3 linked regions of the Caenorhabditis elegans genome follow. Changing the gene in region 3 together with the main gene of any one other region gives a genetic interaction. Each region holds a gene or a part of one and is shown on either strand. Other genes may lie near its edges.

The links.
Region 1: changes in eaf-1 (region 3) and pha-4 impair growth when combined (synthetic growth defect), as found in Caenorhabditis elegans (one large-scale study listed by BioGRID).
Region 2: changes in eaf-1 (region 3) and ruvb-2 impair growth when combined (synthetic growth defect), as found in Caenorhabditis elegans (one large-scale study listed by BioGRID).

What each region holds. Positions count from the first base shown.
Region 1 is NC_003283.11:20,751,021-20,754,778, reverse strand, and holds the start of pha-4 (Defective pharyngeal development protein 4), read right to left. Parts: upstream 1,728-3,758; coding exon 1,686-1,727; intron 1-1,685.
Region 2 is NC_003282.8:6,917,673-6,921,430, forward strand, and holds the start of ruvb-2 (RuvB-like 2), read right to left. Parts: upstream 1,735-3,758; 5' UTR 1,727-1,734; coding exon 1,685-1,726; intron 1,592-1,684; coding exon 1,454-1,591; intron 1,401-1,453; coding exon 1,272-1,400; intron 1,221-1,271; coding exon 944-1,220; intron 898-943; coding exon 507-897; intron 456-506; coding exon 303-455; intron 1-302. Other genes in the region: T22D1.18 (Transposase), read right to left, coding at 2,285-2,491. UniProt on the Caenorhabditis elegans protein: Possesses single-stranded DNA-stimulated ATPase and ATP-dependent DNA helicase (5' to 3') activity suggesting a role in nuclear processes such as recombination and transcription.
Region 3 is NC_003279.8:4,601,357-4,604,814, reverse strand, and holds eaf-1 (Ell-associated factor Eaf), read right to left. Parts: upstream 1,599-3,458; 5' UTR 1,593-1,598; coding exon 1,478-1,592; intron 1,400-1,477; coding exon 759-1,399; 3' UTR 619-758; downstream 1-618. Other genes in the region: D1007.8 (Nucleic acid-binding, OB-fold protein), read right to left, coding at 1-148, 197-412; nrd-1 (CID domain-containing protein), read left to right, coding at 2,176-2,337, 2,407-2,665, 2,712-3,231, 3,301-3,458.

The sequences.
Region 1 (3,758 bases), on a different chromosome or scaffold from region 3:
GCGTGGTATCAATCAGGGGTGGGCGGCAAACAATTTTTCCGGCAAATCGGCAAATTGCCGGAATTGAAAATTTCCGGCAAAGTGTTTCGGTCTTACGAAAAAATCCCTCTAAACATTTCCGGCAAATCTGATATCCGGCACCGGCAGTTTGCCGATTCGCCTTTTTTTAAAAACTATTTCCTTTTACTATTGCCGCCGTTTTTAGTCCGATTTTGAATGGTTCTTTCAAGCAAATTTTGAATGAATATTTCTGGGTCCAGATGTTCGCCCTAACAGTCGTTTTTTCCAGCTGTGATTCAAAATCGTAAAAAAACTTGAGACGACTATCATCCATCTGCCGCCTATTTTTTAGCACCTGTTATTATTGAGCATTAACTGCGCTGACTCATTATCTTATACACTTCTCCAAAATAATCAATAATCGTAAAATAGAGTAGAAAGCAGTGTAGGCGGAAGAAGAGGTTTCTTATCAATACTCACTCGATATGATTTCATTATTTCAAAATAGGTGTAGGTATATTAGAATCAAAAAGTGTGGGACGTTTTTAGGAAAAAGAAAATTCATGTCTATAAGAATAGTAATTGTAAAGTGAGAAAAACATTTTCCATGGTAAATCCAAACTTTTGAACCCCATTTCGTCATATTTTGTTCTAAAAAAATTAGGTTCGTCTTGAAGCTTATCACATATTTATCACTGAAACCGTGTGAAACGAACATGGCAAATAAAAGAAACAACAATTGGCAAACAAAAACTGATATCACATACACACTGCGAAATTGTCAAATATTTGCATGGGAAGGAGGAGCGAGAGAGTAGAAAAGAGCACAAAATATACGTCTAGGAGGCTCCCATTTTTGGGTGGAAGCTTTCGGAGCCACTGGTGGTGGTGCCCCTTCGGTGAATATCGCATTTCATCCATCGAAACAAAAAATATTTGGATGGCCCGAGTTTTGTTTTTGGAGCATTTTTTTCGGGAGCTCTTATTATCGAAATATGAAAACTTTTAATTTTCCACAGTGTTTCAAAACATGTTCAAATTGTTCCATAGAAATTTTTTCTAGCAAAACGAAGAAAAAACTTTGTGCGTGGACCGTGAGAATCAAATTTTCATTGTATCTCTCCGAAAAGAGAATCGATAAAAAAATCTTAAAAGAAAGTTTTAACAATTTCACTTTTTGAGCCTTGCATATTTTAAGAGTTCATGACTAACATTCAAATTCCAAAAAAGCTATTGAACTTAGAAAAAATGTATTTAATGTCATTAAAAAAGTTTGTAGTGATGTTTGAAGAAAATATGGTAAGCTGAACAATAACCTAAACTATTTCTGACAAATCACAGATGTTCATGATATTCTCAAAATGTGCATCTTCCCAGAATACCAATGGAGCAATAATAGGTGGCAACCTAGCATCCTGGCCGGGTCATATTGACATCGAGTATCCCCTGTTAATGAGCACTTATGTGCTATTATACACAGAAGGTGCTCATTTTCAGATTGTTTCAGAAGAGAAATAGAAAGGTAGCTGCAGAAATAGATTAAACATGTGTGGCAAAGATGGTTGTAAGTTTTTAATTTCGAAAAAAGTGAGCATACAGCCGGGAGCTAACAAAAACGTTTTCAGAGGCCCCGAACAATTTTAAAAAAAAACGATGCATGAAGCAGAAAATAACTGGTGCCTTACCCTTATATCAATAATGTCCTCATCACTGGATGGCGATGTCATTGTATCTCAAATTAGATAGTCCTTCAAAAAATACGCAGTGGACAGATAGGGTGTATAAGGTAATATTGGCTGGGGTTGGGTGATTTTGTTAGGTCTCTTGATACGACTCTTCGTTATCAACACTGTGACAGTGTGATGGTGATGATGGTGGTGTAGAAGGGGGCTGTATGGGAATGAGTAGAAGGGAATGGACATAGAGACGCAGTAACACGAGAGAAAAAGAGCACTGATTGATAAGAGAGTTTGACACGGACACCTGGAGACAGCGATCGTCACTCTCTGCTTCTCTACTTCTGCAAGCCTCCTTTTTGGGTTGTGGAGGGAGAGAGAGAGACTGAGTGATCGGAGACCGAGAGCGGGCGCGGTGCCCTTTTGAGTCATTTTGTACAGGCGTAGGGTGGTGGAGAGGGGAGATGGTGTTTCTTTGAAAAGCCGTCTGAGCAAGGGTGTTTAGTGACCCAGAATCGTATAGTGGTGTAGAAATGGAAAGTTTAACATTGAACTCCAAAAACTATCATTAAGCTCACAATCAGCTAATCTCAACTCTTCCTAATCATGTTTTAATATCTCATTTGAAAAAATGAAACCGTCCAATCTCCCCCACGACAATAGGAAAAATAAATTTCTCACCCTCAACTGCCATTCTTCTTCTTCTTGCCTTTTTCATCAACACAATTTTGTGACTGGTACAGATACATAAGAGGACGGACGCCGCGCGCGCGACATTTAGATACGTTATGGGAGCAAGATAAGGCTAGTTGTGTAGCAGTTAATAGCAGTTAAGAATTAGGTAGTATTAACAAAGGGCAATTTAAAAAGATATCACAAAAAAGTATAATATATTTTTTGTTTCAGTCATTCATACAATGTCCATTGGTCCGTTGGTGTGTAAGACTAAGAGACTACAAGTTTTATTGAAGGCACAGTACTAACTTTTGAATTTTTGAAAACCTTGAGAAAAAGAATCAAGCTTTGACAAAAAATTTGCTTGATGCTGTTTTAGGCACGAAAATTAAAATTTTCACAATTTTCAAAATTTCAAATCGTTCCGATTTATTTTTTTTAATTAATAGATACGGTACATCTGGTAACAAGTCTGTGCGAGACTATTAAAGTGTTCAATACTGGTATAATAATTACTGTAAATCAAAAAAAAGCAATAAGAAAGTTAAATCAATGAGACGCTAATACTCCCAAAAATAACTTGGAACAGGTGAATCATTTCAACGATTCACAAAAAACAGAGTTCAAGTTCCGTCTCATTGATTTTTCATTGCATACCACACCCAAGCATCCGAAACTAGTATTAGGTTCAGGAATGACTAATCTCCCAATGGATAGTTACTGTATCAAAAGAGACGTTCACAGCATTGCCCTCTCGTTGCTCCGTCCATCAAGGGCACTGATAATGAGGGTTATCAACATAATAGTTACAAAGACAGGAAAGTGACCAATAAGTTAGATGGTCCATTATCACCTTTTGACAAAAGTTTAATGGTTCCGCTTTCCGCATAGCTCATCGTCGGTAGAATCTTTTGTAACACTATTCTTTAGGCCTTTGCTATCGTTTCTTTGTTAAGGGGAATAGGGATTACCAATCTTTTTTTTTTTTGATTTAAAAATCCAAAAAATTATGATTTTCCCAGATATTAATACAGCCAGCTGTATGATCTTATTCTCAGCACCTCTGTATTCACTTTCAGAGACCTATAGAGACCTATTGTCCGGTTAAGTAGTCGCACCCATGTGCGATTTACAGATATAATGCATGTGAACAACATGAACGCAGTTATGATAGTCCTATTGGCGGGCTAAAAATCTAATCTTTCTTATCAAGGGCCATGGTATAGTTTTTCTGATAAGAAATGACTATAACTTTTATATAAATGCATTAATAAAGTTTTTGGAAATCTTTACATCCAATCATTATTTGTCTTTCCCATTCTACCCAACACTTTAATATCTATTCAGAAACTGTTAATTTTCAGATTTTTTCAATGAAAACTTAATAGATATAGGAAGTATCTGATT
Region 2 (3,758 bases), on a different chromosome or scaffold from region 3:
AAGTTTCTCGGATTTCACCAATTTTTTAAAGCATTTTTCGTCATTTTTTTCAAGTTTCCAGTTTTTCTTAGTGATTTTTATGCAGACTGATAAAATAAAATTCAGTCAAATAAAAAAAACCTCATTCAGCTCAAAAAACCACTAAAACATCGGAAAAATGCCTAAATTTTGGCGAAATCTGCGAAGCTGATCGAAAAACGTTTGAATTCACGGTTTTGTCGCCATTTTCCTAACAAGACCCATGGATCGGGGACAGAGCGTTTCCAATTGCCGGTGGAGCGTTTTTAAAAGATATATCTCACTTGACTCCTTCTTCATCACATCGAATTGACAAAATCTTTGCTGTATCTTCTTTAGTATATGGGATCGCGTTGATGATGAGCATACGATCAAGGAAATCAGATGGGATGCCATGAGCAGATTCGACATCTGTTCCACGCACTTTTTCGATCAATCTAAAGATATTTAATTAAAAACTCAATATTAAAAAAAATATATTTGCAAACCTGTTGGTGGCCATGATAATCAAGGGACTGAGTTCGCCTTCGATGGCTCTGTTGAGGAACGAAAAGCATTCGATATCAAGCATATGAGCTTCATCAATAAACAATACTCCTGGTACAAACTTTGCTTTTCCCTCTTCTCTCCACTCCAAAACCTTCTTATTAATCTGATCTCTCACTTCTGCTTTGATCTCTCCAGTGTCTCCTGAGAAGAGTGCCACGTATCCTTGGGTACGAGAATTGATGACGTCAATGTCGTGAAGACAAACTGTGTGAACAGTTTCACGTCTCTTTTGAATTTCTCCATCTGGACACTGAACAAGCTTCACTTTTGGACCCATTGCGTCATAGTCGTGGGAACGGTTGAATGAACGGCCAAGTCGAGTAACACGTCCTAAAAACGATAATTTTTCAGTTTTTTGATTAAATAAAATTCTCACCAGAAGCCTTATCAACTTGAATAACATCACCGGGCATCACTTTCTCTTTCAGACACGCATCAACCATTTTTGATCCAAGATCGTAGATAGTTTCCATATCAGTTGTACGCATTGTGAGTTTTCCGACCTTTGGTCCCATTCCATTTGCTGACCGATCAACTTCCAACGAGATCACTTCTCCTTCCAAAACTTCAGTTTCTTCTTTAATCTGAATTCCCAGAGCACGTCGAAAAGCTTGAGTAAGTGCCTCTGTTTTGTTGATTTCGTTTGAATAAATCTGAAATTTAAAAAAGATATTTATTAATCTGAAAAAAAACATTAGACTAACCTCTGAAGCGACAATACTGACAAATGGGGTGTCCTCACCAAGTTCTTTGGAAATTGCGATGGCGATAGCAGTCTTTCCAGCTCCAGGCTCTCCTGTCACAAGAAGAGCACGTCCGGCAATTTTTCCCTCCTAAAAAATATAGTAGCAATTTTAGTTTTGAATTTTTGTGCAGAAAACATTACCTGAATCATTTTGACAATAAGTCCTGCAGCTTGTCTAGCGGCAACCTGGCCGACCATTCCTCCAGACACATATTCAGCTTCTAAACGATCATTAAGACCTAGACCAGTAATATGTGAATGTACGGAGGTGCGTTCAACCTGGAAAATATACTGTAATGCAATTGAACCTAGATTTTATTAGAAAATATGCTAAATTGAACACAAAAATTGAATATATGAGCAACAAAATACCTTTACAATATCTTTCACATTAATTCCGTCCAATGTCGCCATTTTGATGTCTGAAATTGAAATATAAAGCTGAAAATTTGCTGAAATTCGGAAAAAGTGAACCTAAAATTCGAAAATCGCGCGCACGAAACGCGCCAACCACAGAAAAAGCGTCAATCAAGGGGCACGAGAAGTGCGTCAACTCGCACTTTCTGCGTCTCACTCTCTAATTATATAGCAACGTGATCTGGAGTTGGATAAATTAATTTTAAAAAAATTTATAAATTAAGCATTTAAAGTTATTTTGGTCGGTCAAGTTTTTGAAAGTGACTGGATATTAAAGAAAATTAATTTAATCTTTATGAGCCTTGTAAAATGTTTTCAAATTTGATCAATCGAGCATAAATAAATGTATTTATTTTATCAATTAAAAAAATCAGAACTTATAAAATCTTATGTATAAAACCAATTATAAAAAAGATAAATATAGAAAAAAAGCGCAATTGAATACTTAGATGCTCTTTTTTTACCAGAATGTTCAAGTTCGATTGCCGGGATCATTTCTGAAGAAATTAATTAAAATGCCAAAAGAAATCAATCAAAACCTTTTTTCCCAATAATTCAAAGATAAAATTTGCTCAATGTGAATAAGGAATAGCATGCTGTAATTGCCACAGTGATAACAAGAGCCCAATCAATAAATCTTCTTGAATTCGAATATTTGCTATAGATCACAATCTCATCATTCGGATCATCATTCTTACAAAGAAGTGGTACATCAACCAGTGAATACTCTAAAGATTTATGAATAGGTACAATGTTAGCCATTTGGAAGAGAAATGAGGGCGACGATGAGGCTGTATGCGGGGTTTTCAAAGCATATGCTTAGAAGCGAAGATTGCTATCAAGCCTTTGCCTTGTCTTCTCGCTTACACGTGGCAAGTCTTTTTTCTGGCTAGGAAATACGATTTTAGAGAATTAAATCCGAGGCGGTGGAACGTTTTGGTAGAAATCCTGCATATCCTGAATTCAAACTTTCGGAAAGTGCTGTAGCAGTCGATTCCATGATTCTATCGTAACCTACTTATAAGTTTTCATTTTCAGAAACTAATTTTCAAAAACTATCACAGAAATTTAACAGATACGCTGTACATTCGAAAAGAGCTCTATATCCCACATATTCTCTATTAGTGCGGCACCTCAACCGCTCTATTTTAATAGCGTATATGTAACTCGCACGCTTTTGAAGATATCGAAAAATGAAAAACATAGAAAAAGAAAAAGATTTAACAAAGATGTTCTTAGTTGAAATTTTTGGCTTAAATCCGAGATATAAGCTGTCAAAGTTGAGCAATTGGGGGTGCCGAACTAATAGAGAATATACGGTATCAAAAATATTAAGAAGCAAATCATTTCAATTTTACTATACACATAAAAATAACCCAACAACAAAAAAATCGTTTATTTCTTCAAAGGTCAAAATGAAAATTAGTCACAAAAATTATAAACTCTCATTGCAATTCACACAAAACAACATTAGACACTGTTTAAATGTAAGTCTGTTCTTGAGAATACATAAATCAGAAACAATAATACCAGAAATAAAGAGAGCACATAATTCAAATGACGATGAAGTTGAACTTTCATCAAATAGTAAAACTTAATCGGAGTGAATTGAAGAATCAATAGGAAGATAAATGAAGTCCTGAATGACGCAGTGGATTTGTGAAAGAATAGATTCATATCTGTTGAAACAGACGGAGATGGCATTCAAGCCATTATGTTTAATTAATTCAGTCAAACTGTTCACAAAGTTTTGAAGAAATGTGTGAAAGATCAGAATAACGTGGTTTCAGAAAAATGGATATCTTTTAAAGTTGCGATACTGTATATTATCTATGAGTACTATTATACATTTAAAGTTTCCTTTATACTGTTAAGATTACTAATTTTAACTTACAAGACATGTATGCGTTTAAATTTTGAATAAAAAATCATGAAAACTGCAAATTAAATATATAATTATTTGGATGTAACTTGTTTTTAAATTTTGGAGCCCTCAGAATTTTCCAGATGCTGAAGGTACTCTGTGGTA
Region 3 (3,458 bases):
GAAAAGCGGCGAATTGTTCATCTGAAGCTTTGTGCATCGAAAATGCGTTCAAAAACTTCTTTCCATTCTCCAAAATTCGAACTTTTCCGAATACTTCAACACGGTCCCCGACGTTGAACTTCTTGGCAGATTCTTCGGTGAAAGAAGCCTGAAATTAATACTTTTTTCCAATGTTACACGATATATTCAGACTAACGGTGAGGATTTTTTGAACCAAAATATTATGATTATCTTTATCAGTAATCATGTATTCTACATCAGAATCTCCGAACTTCACAGATTCGATTACACCCATCACTTGAACGCGAACAACGTCTGCCGTTCCGTACTCGATTCGTTCTTTTGTTGAATTGAATAGCGCTGAAATCGGCATTGGGACGGCATGTTCTGGAATATACCGGTGAGTTTCCATCTGAAATCATGAACAATATGTGAGAAAAACACAGAAATTTGAAGATAAAATCGACGTCTACAAACGACACTGTTTAGCGCAAGAAGCATGCTCTATTGATAAAATGGTTTCAGCGAATTTTAAAAATTTCAGAGAAACTTTAGTTCGACTTTAAAATAGTGCACGGATTAAACAGAAAACCTGAAAAAATAAAACTGTTGAATAGCCTGAATGAAAAAATTTATGATTGCGATAGATAGCCCGGTTTTGAAATAAATAAAAAATCACAGAAGCAAATAACTGCCACCACTAGTACAAGTACACAAGAAAGACGGTTGAATACACTGAATAATATTATGTTTTAAAATTAGTCATCTTCGTCGGAGCTTTCGCTAAGTGCCAATCCATACTTCTCCTCAGAATCTTTGTTTTTATTTCCACTACTTGATATATAGGGAGCCACGTGGCTTTCTTTGTGATTGTAGGTATTTGAAGACGAAGGCGGTGCGGGTTCTCTTTCTGTATATGGTTTGGGCTTTTTCATTTCTTCCAATAATATCTTCTCGCTCTCATCTTCATCATCACTGGAATCGCCATTCGATTTGTCGGAATCAGATGATCCATCAGAATCACTACTCGAATCTGATGTATCTCTCTGCATTTGTTTCTGAATTTTCGCTTTCTCCTCCGGTGAAGATGGTCCAGATCGCTGATTATTAGAAGAAGTTCTCAATCTTTCGATTCCACGTTTCAATGCGAGTTCTGTTCCTTGATCTAGATCTCTCGTCTTTTTTACATTAATATTGCTCGTAATTTTCTCCAAGCGAACTGTGTTGGTCTTTTTGTCGAAGAACAGAAGACATTCTTTCGGTTTTGCTTCTTTTTTCGATCCTTTATATACAGTCATATTGTCTCCTTCGCTTGGTACAGAGACATGTACATCACCGCTGTTCCCAAACGCTATGAAGGTGTCGGCATTGTTTGATACAGAGCTTGGCTTGAAATCGTCTGTAAATTTTAGCTATTTCGATTTTATATTTTTAAATTTCTGATATATTTAATCTTAAAATTGTGCAGTTAACCTACATCTTAGCGTGTGAAATTGCTCTGCCTTAGGGTCACTTTTCCGTCCTTTTACTTCAAATGACTTCCCGAGGGTCAAGGTGTAAGTACCATTCGGAATATCACTTGACTCTGCCATGTGAAACTGAAAAAATGATTATTATTAAATCATATGTGAATATTTTGAATTTTTTAATTTGAAAAAAAAATCGATAATTTTATTATATATTACAATGAAATTCTTCAGAATAGTGCCAATTGTGTGCGCGAGAGTACCATTAGCTGTGGGCGGAGTCTTCGGTTGGCAAGCCTGGCACGCCGTTTTGCAAGTGTGCGGCACAGTGTTGACCTCGGCGCTTTACCATTTTTATGCCGGCTTTCTTTCCTATTTTCATTCAAAACGCTATAATTAGATGAATTTGTACATAAATTATTAAATTATATTCAACTACTGAAAAAGTATCAAAATCATGAAAAAACTTAGTGGGAAAATAGTTTACATTGGATTTTAAACCGTCGACATATCGCATTTATCGATTTTTCAAAAATAAGCGTTTGGAATATTTGCTATTCGTTAAAATTAGCACATCCACCTTTACTCTTAATTCTGCAATTGTATCTTTCCACTATTCCTTTTATTCAGTTTATTTTCTCGCTTCGCATTATCGATTTTAATTTGAATTGGCTTTTTTCAGAACAAAACTCTCATCAGTGGGATCACCATGGAGACGGAAGTGATGAAATCGTTTAATAATGAATTGTCGTCACTATTCGACTCGAAAAACATGAGCAAGAACAAGATTCAGGATATAACAAAGGCTGCGATCAAAGCAAAAAGCCAATATAAGCATGTGGTTTTTTCAGTTGAAAAACTTATCAATAAGGTTAGAATGATTTCGAGAAATCGAAATTTAAATTAAATAATTTATTTATTTTTATTAATGATTTTTCAGTGCAAGCCAGATCAACGTCTAAATGTGCTCTATGTAATCGATTCAATAGTCCGTGCTTCAAAACATCAACTTAAAGAAAAAGACACATTTGGCCCACGGTTTATGAAGCAGTTTGACAAGTTTTTGATGCCGCTGTTAAAGTGTGGACAGAAAGAGAAAATGAGAACAGTTAGAACTCTTAATTTGTGGATGTCCAATAAAGTTTTCAAGGAATCAGAGATTCAACCACTGAGAGAGATGTGCAAGGCTTCTGGATTAAGTAAGTAATTATGGTGGAGAATTCAAAAAAAAAGTTTGATTTTTAGCTATCGATTTCGAGGAAGTTGAGCTCGCCGTGAAGGGAAAACAGGCTGATATGAGCATTTATTCCGGAGTTTACAAGAAAAAGCCAAAAAGGTCTTCATCATCGTCTCAACCGAAATCTCGTACTCCTACAAATCCACATCCGGATGATGGACTTCTCGGTGCTGGACCATCATCTGCTCTGAGATCTGTCCCAGATATTCCGAACTTTGTGCTTTCTGAAGATTACTTCCTTGGAACTATTTCTGAGAGAGAAATGTTGGAATTGGTTCAGAAGTTCGGCATAGATCGCAGTGGAGTTTTAAGTAAGGACAAGAATCTTCTCCAGAGAGCACTTCAAATATTCGCTGGATCCTTGAGTCAAAAAGTAGAAGAAGTTCTAGCGGAGAATAATCGGATTAATGGAAGTAGTATACAGAATGTGTTAACAAAAGATTTTGAATACTCGGATGATGAAGAAGAGAAGGAAAAGGAACCACAACCAGAGAAACAGAAAAATCTGCCACATGCTCAAGTCCTGTTGTGAGTTTTTGATGCATTTTATTTTTTTCTTAATTCCAGAATGTTTCTAATTTTTTTTTCAAATTCTAGATTGGCTCAAAGTTTGCTTACTCAACCTCAAATACTCGCAAAACTCGCTGAAGTCTTGATACCTCAAGGAAATCCATTTGGTCTTCCGTTCCCAGGCGAACATATTGTTCCAACATCGTCAGCAGCTTTAACATTGGGAGCTCCACCACCAAATCTGA